Linked DNA regions of Tamandua tetradactyla. The protein of the gene in region 1 interacts with the protein of each later gene in a biochemical or structural test. Links are inferred from orthologs where the notes say so. Each region holds a gene or a part of one and is shown in the gene's direction. Other genes may lie near its edges.

Evidence for each region.
Region 2: the proteins of NHERF1 (region 1) and ADRB2 form a complex in vitro, tested with the Homo sapiens proteins (3 studies listed by BioGRID and IntAct, with this or other methods). The link is inferred for Tamandua tetradactyla from reciprocal best matches to the Homo sapiens genes NHERF1 and ADRB2.

The regions. Positions count from the first base shown.
Region 1 is NC_135332.1:15,205,536-15,212,766, forward strand, and holds the start of NHERF1 (Na(+)/H(+) exchange regulatory cofactor NHE-RF1), read left to right. Parts: upstream 1-4,198; 5' UTR 4,199-4,435; coding exon 4,436-4,876; intron 4,877-7,231. Other genes in the region: RAB37 (ras-related protein Rab-37), read left to right, coding at 551-616, 1,199-1,255, 1,337-1,413, 1,567-1,672. UniProt on the Homo sapiens protein: Scaffold protein that connects plasma membrane proteins with members of the ezrin/moesin/radixin family and thereby helps to link them to the actin cytoskeleton and to regulate their surface expression. Necessary for recycling of internalized ADRB2.
Region 2 is NC_135346.1:29,580,543-29,587,863, forward strand, and holds the start of ADRB2 (beta-2 adrenergic receptor), read left to right. Parts: upstream 1-4,280; 5' UTR 4,281-4,499; coding exon 4,500-5,756; 3' UTR 5,757-7,321. UniProt on the Homo sapiens protein: Beta-adrenergic receptors mediate the catecholamine-induced activation of adenylate cyclase through the action of G proteins. The beta-2-adrenergic receptor binds epinephrine with an approximately 30-fold greater affinity than it does norepinephrine.

The DNA.
Region 1 (7,231 bases):
ATGGCCAATCCATGGCACATGTGCTGCCACCTCCAACCCCATGCTCATGGCAGACATCACTAATCAATCTCAGTACTTTTGATCACTGAGTCTTTCTGTGGCCTCAGAATCCTCAAAGGGCACTCCAGGAAATCGCTGGTCACTACCAAGGATATGTAAGGTGACACCTCCAAGCCATCCCCTAGAACTGAGTTTTGTACTGTAAAGGAGTTGGTGAGGAAGGCCACTCGGGGGAGGTGAGACTTGAGCTGTGCCTTGAGTTATGGATAAGAATAGGGCTAGGGTGCACAGGTAGTGGTTAGAATGCCTGCCTTCCATGCGGTAGACCCGATTCGATTCCCAGACAATGCACGCTTCCCCCCACCCTCCCCCCTAAAAAAGAATAGGGCTAGAGAAGGCAGAATGTGGACCCAGATGAGAGAATGCACAGGGCATCATGTCCTGGGACCAGTGAGTAGGCCAGGGCAGAAGAAGGAAGGGCAAGAGGGAAGAGGAGAATGGCCTGGACCTTGGCCTGGCCTGGCTCAGCTCAGCTCACCCTCTCCCACAGGCCTGGCTCACTGAGATCCATGAGTATGCCCAGAGGGATGTGGTGATCATGTTGCTAGGCAACAAGGTGAGTGGCTCAATGACAGGGCCAGCCCACAGCCAACTCCCCACAGCCCCAAGAGTGTGATCTGGATATGCTTTAACAAAGGATGCTTCCCAGTCCCCAGCTTAGGGGTGACCTCAGCCCCTCCTGTCTATCCTCTTAAAGTTTTGGAAATGGCCTCCCCCAGAGAAAGCCTAAACTGCTGCCTGAGAGATCCAGGGTTGCCTGGCTACTCAGCCCCCATCAGATCATAGTGGGTGGGGACGAGGGTCAGGGACAGAGATTGGGAAAGGTTAACCCAAACTGCTGTCGCCTCTCTGAGGCTGGGCCACCACACCCTTTGCCAAGGAAACTTACCCACCTCCCGGGCTGGGGGAGAGATCCCAGGGATGGGAACTCGGTGACCCAGCCTGAACAAAGCAGAGCCCCTGCTTTGTTCACAGCCAATCACAGCCGCAGCCTCACCCCCCAGACTCTGACACTCCTTCCTCTCAGTCCCGTAGGCCACCAGCAGGGGGTGGGCAGTGGCCACTCCTGGGGCAAAAGATGGGCTAGCTGGGGCAAGGCTCCCTGACCCCTCCCCAAGTGACCCATATGGCTTGACAGGCGGATGTGAACAGTGAAAGGGTGATCCGTTCGGAGGATGGAGAGACATTGGCCAGGGTGAGTGGGTGCCCGCGGGCTGGGGTGAGGGGCGAGGGTGGCCAGCGGCAGCAGGCCCTGAGGACACCCTCTCCCTGGCAGGAATACGGAGTTCCCTTCATGGAGACGAGCGCCAAGACCGGCATGAACGTGGAGTTAGCCTTTCTGGCCATTGCCAAGTGAGAGCTGAGCAGGGGAGGGATACACCCCTACAGGCAGGGTGCATCCGGGTATCCAGCAACACTGGCCGGGCCTCTGCACCGGGCCCGGGGAGTGGGGCAGATGCTGGGCCCCTCACTCCCAGCTCAGATCACTGCTTCTTCCTCTTCAAGGGAGCTGAAATACCGGGCCAGGAGGCAGGCTGATGAGCCCAGCTTCCAGATCCGGGACTATGTGGAGTCCCAGAAGAAACGGCCCAGCTGCTGCTCCTTCCTGTGAATCCCAAGGGCTGGGTGGAGGCTGCTGAGGCCCAGACGATGCAGCTACCTCCCCACACCTGGTGTACTCCTGAGCAGCTGAGCAAGGGGAGAAAACAGAGGGACGCAGTGCCCAGCCCCTTCCCTAGAGGGAGCTGTCTTCCCACTCCTTCTCTAGTTACTGTAGTTTCCCTGGCATCTCAGGGGAGGGTAAAGCATTTCTATTTCACTTTAATGATACCTAATTTAATACAAAAAAGGATCCCCAGGGTGCCCAGAAGACCAAGGTAGGGACACTGGCCCAGTTGCCTTCCAGCACTAGGACCAGGCCTGCCTCCAGGCCACACAGAAGAGGCTTTGCTCCAACTCAGCACCAGGGGGCACTGATGCACTTCTGCCCAGAACCCTAGGGTCCAAGGGCAGGTAGGGACCTGTTTCCACCCTCTGTGCAGCTGGAGAAGGGCTCAGTAAACCCATTCTTCACTTCCTCCAGCTCTCCAGGGAATAATTCTCCCAATAAGATGTGGGAGGAGCTAGACTAAAGCCTCAGGGAAGCTAATAGATATGGAGATTGGAGAATGCCCCAGCTCCCCAGAGGGGAAGAAAGAAGCAACAGAGACTGGAGTCTATGTGGAATACCTTCTAGCCTTACTGAAACCCCCCTCCTGGAGGCATGCCCCTTTCCCTCCTGGATACAAGCACATTGCGGCACCTGAGGATATTTAATTCCTGTTCTCTGGACCTCAGATCCCTGCTCTTATCTACCCCCAATCCCTCCCCAAATTTCTGGTCTTATCTGCTTTTCTACCTGTGCCTCTAGACACAAGTAGAGCAAGGGAAGGGTTTTTCTTCTTGTCCCAAACCCTTGGCAGGCATGCGACCCCCTAGCTGCTTCTTCCAGCAGCTGTAGTACTTCTGCTGGGTTGAGTCAGATAAAGAGAAACCCCTGGCTCCTGCAGCAGGTGGGAGACAGACCCAAATAAACCTCTCCCCACGTGAAGCCCCCTAAACCTAAGCTCTGCCTCTTCCCTGACCACCTAGGCCCATTTCTTAACTTCTCAGACACTAGGGTCAAATAAACTTTATCTCTACTCCTTCGGAGTCCAGTTTGGGAATGAGAGGTCCAACGTAATGTGTGCAAAACAAGGTCATTTAGTTAAGTGTCCGGTGAGGACCAGGGGTGGCAAGGAGTCTGGGTGGGGCCAAGGTCACAGGTCTCCCAGAACCCTGTGGATTGGGAGTGGACAGGAGATATGCAAGGCATGTCCCAGAAGCACCTTTACCCTAGCTCTTAGGCCTAGGAAGCTTGAGAAAGAGGTAGACACAGCATATTTCTGGGGATACTGCATTTGCTTTCAAGGCAGAAATCTTGCTGGCTGAGCAGACTCAGCTGCTCTTCCTTGGGCCTGATAAGGAAGTTCCCTTGGCCTCTCCCAGAGGGAGCAGGGAGGGGTCACACCTCATCAATCTCCCTTGGGACCCAAGCGACCCAGTCACAAAGGCTGTTTTGGACCTCTAGCATTTGTGTGTTTGGGGCATTAAATTGCAGTATTTTGGAAGTTATAAAGGGTATGTACACTGCTGGCTTTGAGGCACACGTGGGAGGGGGGCATCGTGTTGAAGGGATGTTATTGTGTTTGGGGGGAACTGTCATTGGGAGCCAAACGTATTCAATCTTCATCATTCAACAGAGTACACCCCTAACAAGAGTACACCCCAGCCTCTGATGGGCCCTCACGTGCCAAAAGGAAAAGCTGCAAGAAGGCTTCTCTTATACAAGCCTCATTTCTCTTTGTTGAAAAAAGTCAGGTGTTCTTTTCCTGCGGTCTGTATCCAGACGTGGAATTCCTGACTCTGTCCTGCCTCTCCCCACCCCAGCTCCCTAGCCTAAGGCCGATGCCATGGCCACACCACTGCCCGAGGTGTCCTGTCTTTAGACGGCTCCCCGCGAAGCCTCGGGCTCTCTGCAAAGCGCTCACCCTCCCTGGAAGGGATGTGAAGCTGCACTCCCATAAACGGATCCGGGGATAGCAGAAACTGACTCCAAGAACGGGAAAATATCGTCATCTAAGCAACTTTATTGGGTCAGAGGTGGTCCTGTGTCTTATTCACAACCCCGTTGGGAACTCGCTGACCAGGACCTGGAGCGGTTTCCCCGGCAACAATCGTCCACCCCTCAACTGAAGCTACACCCAGGATTTGGGCCGTTAAAACGTTAGGGTCCTTTACCCTAGGGTAGGGTGTCCTCAATCCCCCGCCACAGGTGGGTGAAACCAGAACGGAGCTCACGGGCCCCTCCGCCCAGTACCAGGAACTCGGCCCTGCCCCCGCCCCTCCCGCCGCGACTCCGGCCACTTGGTAACAAACACTTCCACTTCCTGAGTCCTCTTTCTTCGCCCGCCGCGGGGCGCCGCGCCGAGCACTGGCCCCGCCCCCGCAGGATCCGATTGGCCTACGACGTTCACCCGGCCACAGCGCCCCCACCCCGTGGGCCCTGATTGGCCCGCGGCGGCCCACACCCTCGGCGCGGCCCCGCCCCCGGGGTAAGGGGCTGGCGGGATTCTGGAAAGCTCAGACGCCGCGCTCCGCGGGGATTGGTCTGCGCGCCTTTCCTCACGCTTCCCGAAGTCGGCGGCCGCCGCTCCCGGGACACCTGCTCTCTCCGCTCGGCTGCGGGGAGTCCCTGCCGCGCTCCCTCCCGCCTCCCGGCCTCGCCAGGCCGGAGAAGGGCTGGGCCGGCCACCGACGGGACGCGCGTCGCGCCGCTGAGGCGTCGCGGGGCGAGATGAGCGCGGACGCGGCGGCCGGGGCGCCCCTGCCCCGGCTCTGCTGCCTGGAGAAGGGCCCGAACGGCTACGGCTTCCACCTGCACGGCGAGAAGGGTAAGGTGGGCCAGTTCATCCGGCTGGTGGAGCCCAGCTCGCCGGCGGAGAAGGCGGGGCTGCTGGCCGGGGACCGGCTGGTGGCGGTGAACGGAGAGAACGTGGAGACGGAGACCCACCAGCAGGTGGTGAGCCGCATCCGCGCCGCGCTCAACGCCGTGCGCCTGCTGGTGGTCGACCCCGAGACGGACGAGCGGCTGCAGAAGCTGGGCGTCCAGGTCCGGGAGGAGCTGCTACGCGCCCAGGACGGGCCCGGGCAGGCCGAGCCACCCGCCGCCGCCGAGGCGCCGGGGCCTGGCGACGAAAAAGAGGCGCGCGAGGCCGAGAAGAGCCCCCCCGAGCGGGTAAGTGCGGGGCCCAGGCGGGGTGACGGGGACCCGGGCGTCTCGGAGGTGCAGCCCCGCGCCCGCTGCTGTCTTTCTGGAACTCGAGCGGCGAGGAGGGGCGGCTGCTTCCGCCCGCCGACCTGGCGCATCTCCAGTTCCTAGGCAGGCCTGGGGGCAGCGTCCCACGACCCCAGCATCCTTTCCACACTGCCTGGGCCCCTGAGCGCCGTCTGCCCCTCTTCTCGGTTGGTCTTGGGGTTGGCGGGGAGGGGATGGGGGCGGCCCAGGAGAGCCCCGTCCCTTTGCCTCGGCTCTGTTGGCGTTTTCGCCCGTTCCTCGGAACCCTCCAATTAGTTGTGTAATGGCCCTCTCCTCGGCGGTCCCCACCCTGTAATTGGGCCGGCAGGAGGGACCCGCCGCCTAACCTTCCTCCTCGGCCCCTAGGAGGGGGGTAACTGAAGCCGGAGGAACAGCGAGCGTGGCCCCGACTTCAAAAAGCCAGAAGAGTCCCAATTTCCTTTACATGCGGAGGCCCAGCCCCGGAGTGGGAAGAAAGGGGTGTCGGGCGGTTACTCCTGGTCTCTGTCTTTCTCCTCTGCCCGAACCCTCCATGGTTTGCGCCCTTCTTCAGCTCTCCTGGACTTCATCGTCCTCCTGCAGACCTGTCTAAGCAGCTGTGTGGGGGAGGGATGGGAGGAGGAGACGCAGAGGCGTCTGGGGGTGGTGGCGGCTCTGCCACCCAGGAGAATTTATGATTCTCAGGAATGTGAGGAGTAAGCGCTAGCCTGTATCAGGGCTCGGCAAGGAGGACTTTGGAAGAGGAGAAAGAATGCAGGGGGACGGGTTGGCAGTCGGTGTATCATACCTAGGCAGGTGGGCTTCCCCCAGCATCCCCTGTGGCACTCTTGTCCCCTCCCAACAAACTGGTTGCTTGCTGCTTGCCTGCATTTGGTGTTGCCCCAGACGATCCCAGTTTGGATCAGCTGCAGGAGGGGCAGCTGGCAAAACAGGCATTGCTGTTCTGAGCCTCATGTCCCCTAGGGAGGGACACTGGGAGGTCCCCCCGGGTGCAGACAGTGAAGTGCAGGGCCTAGGCTCTGCCGGGGTCCAGTGAGCTTGCACCAGCTCTCCCTGGTGGCAGCGTGTAGGAAGGGTGCCAGTGGTGCCAGTTGGAGCCTCCTTGGGCAGAGGAAGGGCATAATTCGGCTTTGAGGTGGAAGGTGGAGCCCCAGAAGACCAGCTGGTTTAGTGTAAGTGAGGGAAGTGAGGTCACTAGGAGTACTGTCCAGCCGGAGCCGGGTGCTGGGAATGCCAAGGCCGCCAGGCTCCCACTTCCTGCCAGTGCCAAGCTGGCATTGGCAAGGGGTGGGGGAGGAACCAGAGCACCCCTGGCAGGGGGTTAACACCAGGGAGTTAGAACCAATGACCTCTGGTTCCAGGTGGAAAGCTGGTTTGAACTTTGTGCTGAGTGCATCGATTTGCCTTTTTTGTTGTTTGTTTTGAACTTTGGCACCAACACAAATAACGCCCCCCCCACACACACACACACACACACGTTGCGGTTGTGTTCAGCTCCTCCCTTTGCCCTTTTTGTTCTGCTGGGTGCAGTGCCCTAGGGCCTGGGAGGGAGTGCGGAGACTGGAGGCTTGGAAAAGGCAACGCACACCCAGAGAACAGCCCTGCTCTGAGGACTTCTCTGGATGAGAACAGACTGAGACTCCCCAGATGTTGGTTTGCTACTCGGCCTACCTACACTTGTTTGTACTTTGCTAGGTCAGGAGAAGGGAGCAGAACCACTTCCAGAGAGTCCTAGGGAAACCATAACCAGACCTCTCTCAGGTCACAGGTCAACAAGCAAGCCACAGGGCTTCCCTGAGCCCTGGTTTTCCCATCTGTGAAATGTGGGTGTTGTAGGATCTCCCAAATAATTGGGAGGTTCTTGAGCTCCTACTAGGTGCTTAGTTGAGCTCCTTCAGGCCCGGGCGCTCATATCCCAGATTGTGTAGCTGACTCCTTCCACCTTATTTATGGCCAGTCAGGCCTGGCCAGTCCCTCTCCGTATGGTGAGGGGTCAGGCAACCCACCTTGCTGTAAGAACTTTTTTTTATTTTCGCTAAAAGCCATTCCTTTCCTACATAAAACATCAAATCACCTTTTTTTACTTCTTTTTTTATTAATTTTTTTAAAAAATACAAGAAAAACATTCTTAACATATGATCATTACGTTCTACATATGAATCAGTAATTCACCATATCATCACATAGCTGCATATTCATCATCATCATTTCTTAGAACATTTGCCCCAATTCAGAAAAAGAAATAAAAAGACAACAGAAAAAAATTCATACATACCATACCCTTTACCCCTCCCT
Region 2 (7,321 bases), on another chromosome or scaffold:
TTCAATTATTTTTCACAGCAATTTAACATAAAATAAATTATTGTTATCCGCTTTCAAAGGGTCCCTCCACAGATATGGCTTGATAAGACAAATAGGTTTTCTTCATATATATTTTGGTTCAAAATAAAATCACAGGGTACACAGGTCGCTCAGTGGTAGAATGCTTGCCTGCCATGCGGGAGACTGGCTTTAATTTACAGCCCATACGCTAAAAAATAAAAATAAAAAATAACAATAATAACTACCTCTTTTGCAAGGACTCATGCTAAGCATTTTATATAATTTTATCTCATTTAATGCAAATTTAATGAGATAATGCATAACAGAGGTGATGTTATGCACAGACATTTAAAACAATCATTTAGAAAGAAATCTACAAATGTTTCTCCTCTCAAAGGATCATAAAGATGGAAGGCATCTGGTCTAAACCAAGACCCAGGATAAGATGTTCCTAAGCCATGCAGTTATGGGAGGGATTCATTGTCTGGCACCACAGAGCTCTACTCCTGATAGGTAAATCAAAATGTGTTGTTACTCTCTGTTAGGCAGGAAGGAAAGGACACATCAGTGTCTTAAGGGACCAACAAAAGTTGTAACTGGACACTATCAATCACCATAAAAGAGCCTGCTTTTTCTTACGTCAAATAAAGGTGCGTTTAGTCTACTAAGAACTTTCAACTGAACCATTAACTGTCTAAAGCCTCAAGCACAAAAAACAGTTATTAGTCAAACTCCTCTGCTGGGAAATGAAACGGCAGCAGCGGGCAAGTGAAACGCATTGGTCAGGAGCAGATCTGGACTCTTAATTTGCCCTCCCACCTTGGACTTCTCCTTTCTGCCTTTCAGTTTCTTCAATTGCAAACAGATGAGAATAAACTAAATTAGTAAACTCTTTGCCATTCCAACTTTTTCTAGTCTCGTGATTCTAAAAGGAATCTAGGAGAAAAGACTCTTGGCGAGAAGACAATATCTTGGAATCGCCTCCAGTTTGGCAATGTAGCAAAGAGACTGTACTCCTAGCAAGACTGATGGGCAAGGCCTGGAACTTCTTAGTTTACATAGCACCTTTCCCTTCTTGATTTAAGTGTTTGTGGATTTTTTTTAAAGGTATTTCCCAAAATATTCAAAGATAAACATTTAAGTGACTTATGTATAAATCTAGATGATCAATTAGTGTTTGTCTTTAGTTTTTATTGATGTTGTTCTTTTTTTGTATCTGAAGGTTAAACACTATGCTTATTTATTCCATAGTTTCACAAACAGGAAGGAGGTTTTAAATGGCTTAGTTCCACAATTCATGGTAGATGAATATTTTAAGAGAACTTGTTGCATAACAGACACTGCCTCTTCCTAAAATGCATCACACCAGAGCCAGTTTTGGAAAACACAAATATGGGGTGGGTATATTTTGAAAACTATGTGAACATAATAGATCCTTAACTAACATTTGTGGCTATTAGGGAAAATATTTGTTTTTTTTTTTCAGGCATCTTTCTTGTCAAACCAGTTTCTACTATTGAAGGAGATTAAAAGGGACATGTAGGTTAAATTTTGCTCCTGGGTTTTACTTCTAGCGTAAACACCAAATTACTTTTGTCCTAAAGGATTTTATTGTTTAGGTACAGGAGACTAACAGTACACGCTAATCTATATCAACTTGATTTATAATCCATATTTGTGTGGCATTTATACGTGCAAAAGCACCCTCGTATTTATTGGTATTATATCATTCGATTCTTACTCAACTCAATGGAAGTGATTTTATTTGCCCCTTTAGAGATGGAGCAAATCAGGCTTCAGCTTTGTGACTTGCCTAAGGACAGTGAGTTAGAAAACTCAATGAATACATGACTCTGGAACCTGACTATCCTAATTCCAATTGCAGTGCTTATTCCCTGTCCTCCATTCCTGTGTGTAATGATGCAGTACATTGAAAAGACTGGAAGATGAGTTTTAGAATCAGTGCGAGAGGCAGGAATCAAATCCTATCTCTCCATGTGCCCCCCACAGGAAAGCTATTTGAGCTTCATTTGTGAATTAAGCTAAAAATAGTAACATCCCCCCACCAATGGACTTTGGAAAGGATTAAATGGAATAATACATGAAAAGCACATAGCAGAATATTCTATAAATGTCAGCTGTTGTTATATTATCATATAATCTACAAAGTATGTTTGGTTACACTGCTTGAAGCACTTTGTTGTTCAAAAACCGTTAATATATGTGAAAATCAAACCCTGAAAATTAATTTATTCTTAGCAGTAACATCATATGTCAGATGCCAAAGGAAAGCATTTCATGTACAAAAGACTTTAGTTTTAAGAGTTGGCATGATTTTTTAAAAAGCAGTTTTACTCACACATCACACAATCCATCCAAAGAGTACAATCGATGGCTGTCACAGAATTGTGCATTCATCACCACAATCAATCTGAGAACATCTTCATTGCTCCAAAAAGAAAAATCCCACCCCCTTATACCTCCCTAATATTAGCAATGGTGACTTAGTTACAACTGATGAAAGAATATTAACTATTAATCCATACTTTGCATTAGTTGTGTTTTCCCCATATACCTCCCTATTATTAACAGCTTGTAGTAGTAATGTAAATTCGTTCTAGTTCATGGGAGAAATTCTTACATATGTACTATTAACATCATCCACAAAAGGGTTCACAGTGTTATACAGTCCCAGGTTTTATCCTCCAGCTTTCCTTCTAGTGGCATACATTACCCTAAACTTCCCCTTTCAAACACAATGACACCTATATTTCAGCACCATTAATTACTTTCACAATAATGTGTCTCCATTGCCTCTGTCATTTTTCAAACATTTACAATCAAGCTTATTAAAAATTCTGCACAAATTAAGCACCAGTTCTCCAGCCTCTACCCTCATTCTATCTCATCGTGGTATGATTATTTTAAAAGAAGATTTATATTTTGCTTTCTATAGTTTCAAATGTATAGAAACTATAGTTTCTAGAGTTTCAAATTTTCTTAATGTTAATACCTTCTAAGTAGTTTGTGCCATATGAAATTACCATTTTTGAACGTAAAAATGGGTAATTAACGGCAATTTCATATGGTTCAACACCACAGATTAACAAATCTGGGGTTGATGAAAGGTTTGTCGTTGTTATTTTGTTTTGTTTTCGTTGCAATGGGGATTCCCAAGTTGACATTGAACTGAAAAGTATCTCAGTTTCAACTTAGGTCCATTCAAACAGGTAATGAGGGAGTGATGCCACACTCCCAAGAATTAAAAACAAAAGCATAAAACTTCCTCCCTCCATCCCAAACACAGGCATGAACACCCCAGCTCCCACGGAAATCCAGAGTGAAATTATGTCTCAATGCCTGCAAATTCCCAAGGAGGGCACCAAAAGGACTTGACAGTGAATGCACTGAGGAAATCGGCAGCTGTTGAAGTCACCTCCTGTGGTCTTGCCAAATGTTTGAAAGGGAATATGGTGTGTGTGTGTGTGTGTGTGTGTGTGTGTGTGTGTGTGTGTGTGTGTGTGTGTGTTTGGGGGTGGAGATGAGGGGAGCGTCATTTATATCTGCTCGGGTTGAGGGGCGTTGGGGAGTTCCTGGACGAGGAGGTCTGTGTCTGCGTGGCTCTGCAAGCCTCCAGGCGAGCGTCTGTGCGTGCTGCCTTCTTTCCCTCCCCGTGCCCGTGCCTTTGTGCCTCTGGGTGAACCTGTGTTTGTTTCTGGCCGCGTCTCTGTTGGACAGGGTGACTTTGTGCCTGTCTGCCTCTGTGCGCGCGCGCGCGCGCGAATGTGCACGTCGGTGCGCTGGACGGGTGTGTCTCGGTGTCTGTGGTTCCGTATAAGTCTGAGCATGTCTGTCAGGGAGCATTTGTGCCTGTATATGCGTGTCTCGGGGGGCGCCCTCACCTCTGTTCCCGCAGGTGCCCGTGCGCTGCCCAGTCCGCACAGGCGCCCGGGACCGACAGGTAACAGCCACACCAGAGCCCAAAGCGCCTGGCTTCGCCGGCGAGCACACCAGCCCCCGCTTTAGCCCCCTGGGACCCGCCCGGGGGAGCCGGGAGGGAGTGATGGGCCCGCCCGCCGGGGAGCAGCTGCGCCCCGCCCGCGCCAACGCCGGGAGCCCGCGAGCTGGGAGGTGGCGGGGGGGGGGGGGCTCGGGGGGGGACGGGGCGGGAACGCGAGGGCTGCCCGCGCGCCATTGGCGGAAAGTTGCCGCGCGTCACCGGGAGGGCAGGTCCCCTAAAGTCCAGTGCACATAACGGGCAGGGCGCACTCTGAGGCGGCTTCTCCAGAGCGCGGGGACGGGACTGACGGGGACGGCGAGCCCAGGGCACCCCACAAAGCTGAGTGTGCAGGACGCGCCCCCGCCAAACCCACCTCACGGCCGCTGAATGAGGCTTCCGGGCGTCCTCCGGTGGCCCGCAGCGCCCCGCCCGGGGTCCGCCCGCTGAGGCGCGGCCGGTGCGCCGGCAGTCAGTGCACTCACCTGCCAGCCTGCGCGCCATGGGGCAACCCGGGAACAACAGCGTCTTCTTGCTGGCGCCCAATGGAAGCCAAGAGCCGGACCACAACGTCACGCAGGAACGGGACGAGGCGTGGGTGGTGGGCATGGGCATCGTGATGTCCCTCATCGTCCTGGCCATCGTGTTTGGGAACGTGTTGGTCATCACAGCCATCGCCAGGTTCGAGCGTCTGCAGACGGTCACCAACTACTTCATCACCTCTCTGGCCTGTGCTGACCTGGTCATGGGCCTGGCGGTGGTGCCTTTCGGGGCCAGCCACATCCTCATGAAAATGTGGACATTTGGCAACTTCTGGTGCGAGTTTTGGACCTCCATCGATGTGTTGTGCGTCACGGCCAGCATTGAGACCCTGTGCGTGATTGCGGTGGACCGCTACTTCGCCATCACCTCACCGTTCAAGTACCAGAGCCTGCTGACCAAGAATAAGGCCCGGGTGGTCATCTTGATGGTGTGGATTGTGTCAGGCCTCACCTCCTTCCTGCCCATCCAGATGCACTGGTACCGGGCCACCCACCGGCAAGCCATCAACTGCTACGCCAAGGAGACCTGCTGTGACTTCTTCACGAACCAAGCCTACGCTATCGCCTCGTCCATTGTGTCCTTCTATTTGCCCTTGGTGGTCATGGTCTTTGTCTACTCCAGGGTCTTCCAAGTGGCCAAAAGGCAGCTCCAGAAGATTGACAAATCCGAAGGCCGCTTCCACGCCCAAAACCTCAGCCAGGTGGAGCAGGATGGGCGGAGTGGCCATGGACATCGCAGGGCCTCCAAGTTCTGCTTGAAGGAACACAAAGCCCTCAAGACTTTAGGTATCATCATGGGCACTTTTACCCTCTGCTGGCTGCCCTTCTTCATCGTCAACATTGTACATGTGATCCAGGACAACCTCATCCCCAAGGAAGTATACATCCTCCTGAACTGGGTGGGCTACGTCAATTCCGCTTTCAATCCCCTCATCTACTGCCGGAGCCCAGATTTCAGGATTGCCTTCCAGGAGCTTCTGTGCCTGCGTAGGGCTTCTCTGAAGGCCTGTGGGAATGGCTACTCCAACAGCTCCAACAGTAAGACTGACTACGCAGGGGAGCAGAGTGGATATAACCTGGGGCAAGAGAAAGAAAGCGAACTGCTGTGCGAGGTCCCCCCAGGCACAGCAGACTTTGGGAGCTGTCAAGGTACTGTGCCTAACGATAGCATTGATTCACAAGGGAGGAATTGTAGTACCAATGACTCACTGCTGTAATGCAGTTTTTCTACTTTTTAAAGGCCCCCCCCAAAAAAAAACACTAAAGAGACTATTTAACTTGAGTGTAATAAATTAGAATAAAATTGTATAGAGAGGTGCAGGAGGAAGGACATCCTTCTGCTTTTTTATTATTATTTTTTTAAACTGTAAAAAAAGAGAAAACATATTCGAGTGATTATTTGTTTCTTGTACAGTTGAGTTCCTCTTTGCATGGAACTTTTAAGTTTATGTCTAAAGGGCTTTCGTCCCAGAGGACCTGGATCTGCTATGTTTTGGCAACTTTTCCGTGTATCTACCTCATTGGCCAAGTATTAGGGGTGAAATATTGCTGCTGGTAATTTGTATCTGAAGGAGACTTTCCTTCCTGCACCCTTGGACTTGAGGATCTTGAGTATCTCGGACCTTTCAGCTGTGAACATGGACTCTCCCCGCTCCTTTTATTTGCTAAACGGGGTATTGTAGGCAGGGATTTGAGGGGCAGCTTCGGTTGTTTTCCTGAGCAAAGTCTAAAGTTTACAGTAAATAAATTGTTTGACCATGACTTCATTGCACCTGTTTCTCCAAAACCCCTTCACAGGAGTGTTATTTTCTCCCCCACTGGAAACCACAGGTAACTATTTGTCATAACTGTTCAGTGACTTAATGCAGAATGATGCAGACTTAATGCAGAATACAAAATGACATGTGCTGATTGCTTAACCCTTTCGTTTGCCTTTGAGTCTGCTGCTGCTGCAAATCTGTATCTCTCCTAGCACTCATGCCCCCAGATCAGTTCTGCATGCTTCTGGCATAACTGGGCTCGTCCTATAATTATTATTCTGTTCTGTTACATCAGAAACACTGAATCATAGACACAGAGTTATGAGTATATGTTTTGTCCCTCCACACCCCCCCACCACCCACCTTCCAGTTCTACTTGTTTAGAAACTGCCTGTATTTATATCTTTGCCGTATCTTATAGTGGAGATCTTTGTACTGCATCAGGACTTGGCATTTTAGGGATGAATAAGGGAGATGTTCTTGAGAAAAAGCTGCTCAAACATAGCCCCATAATTCCAAGAGAAAATAAAAGGGCATTGCTTATAGGTAGAAAAAGCTGAAAAATAGCTGATGAATATCTCATGACTTAGAAATAGGGTTTTAACCCCTTCCCTCCTTCTTTTCTTCTGTCCCCTTGTATAAACCAAGGTTTCTCAGTGCTGGCACTATGGGCACTTTGGGCCAGATAACTCTTTGTCTTCTTTGTGGTGAAGGTGGGGGTGGGGGAGGCTGCCCCATGCACCTTAGTATGTTTAACAGCATCCCTGGCCTTGACCCACTAGATGCCTTAGTCCTGATGACCAAAAAATGTCTCCAGACATTGCCAAATGTGAAATCTTCCCAGGTTGATACCACCAGTATAAACTTTTAAAACACAAACAGATTTTTAGATTCTGTCTATTGTACCACTTTATCTTGGGTGGTTTTTCCCGGTTCACCCAGTTAGTGCTAGGCCCTAGGCCAGTGAGTGGCTCTTTTCCACTATATCGTGCTGCCTTCTGAACTCACTTTCCAGCCCTGCT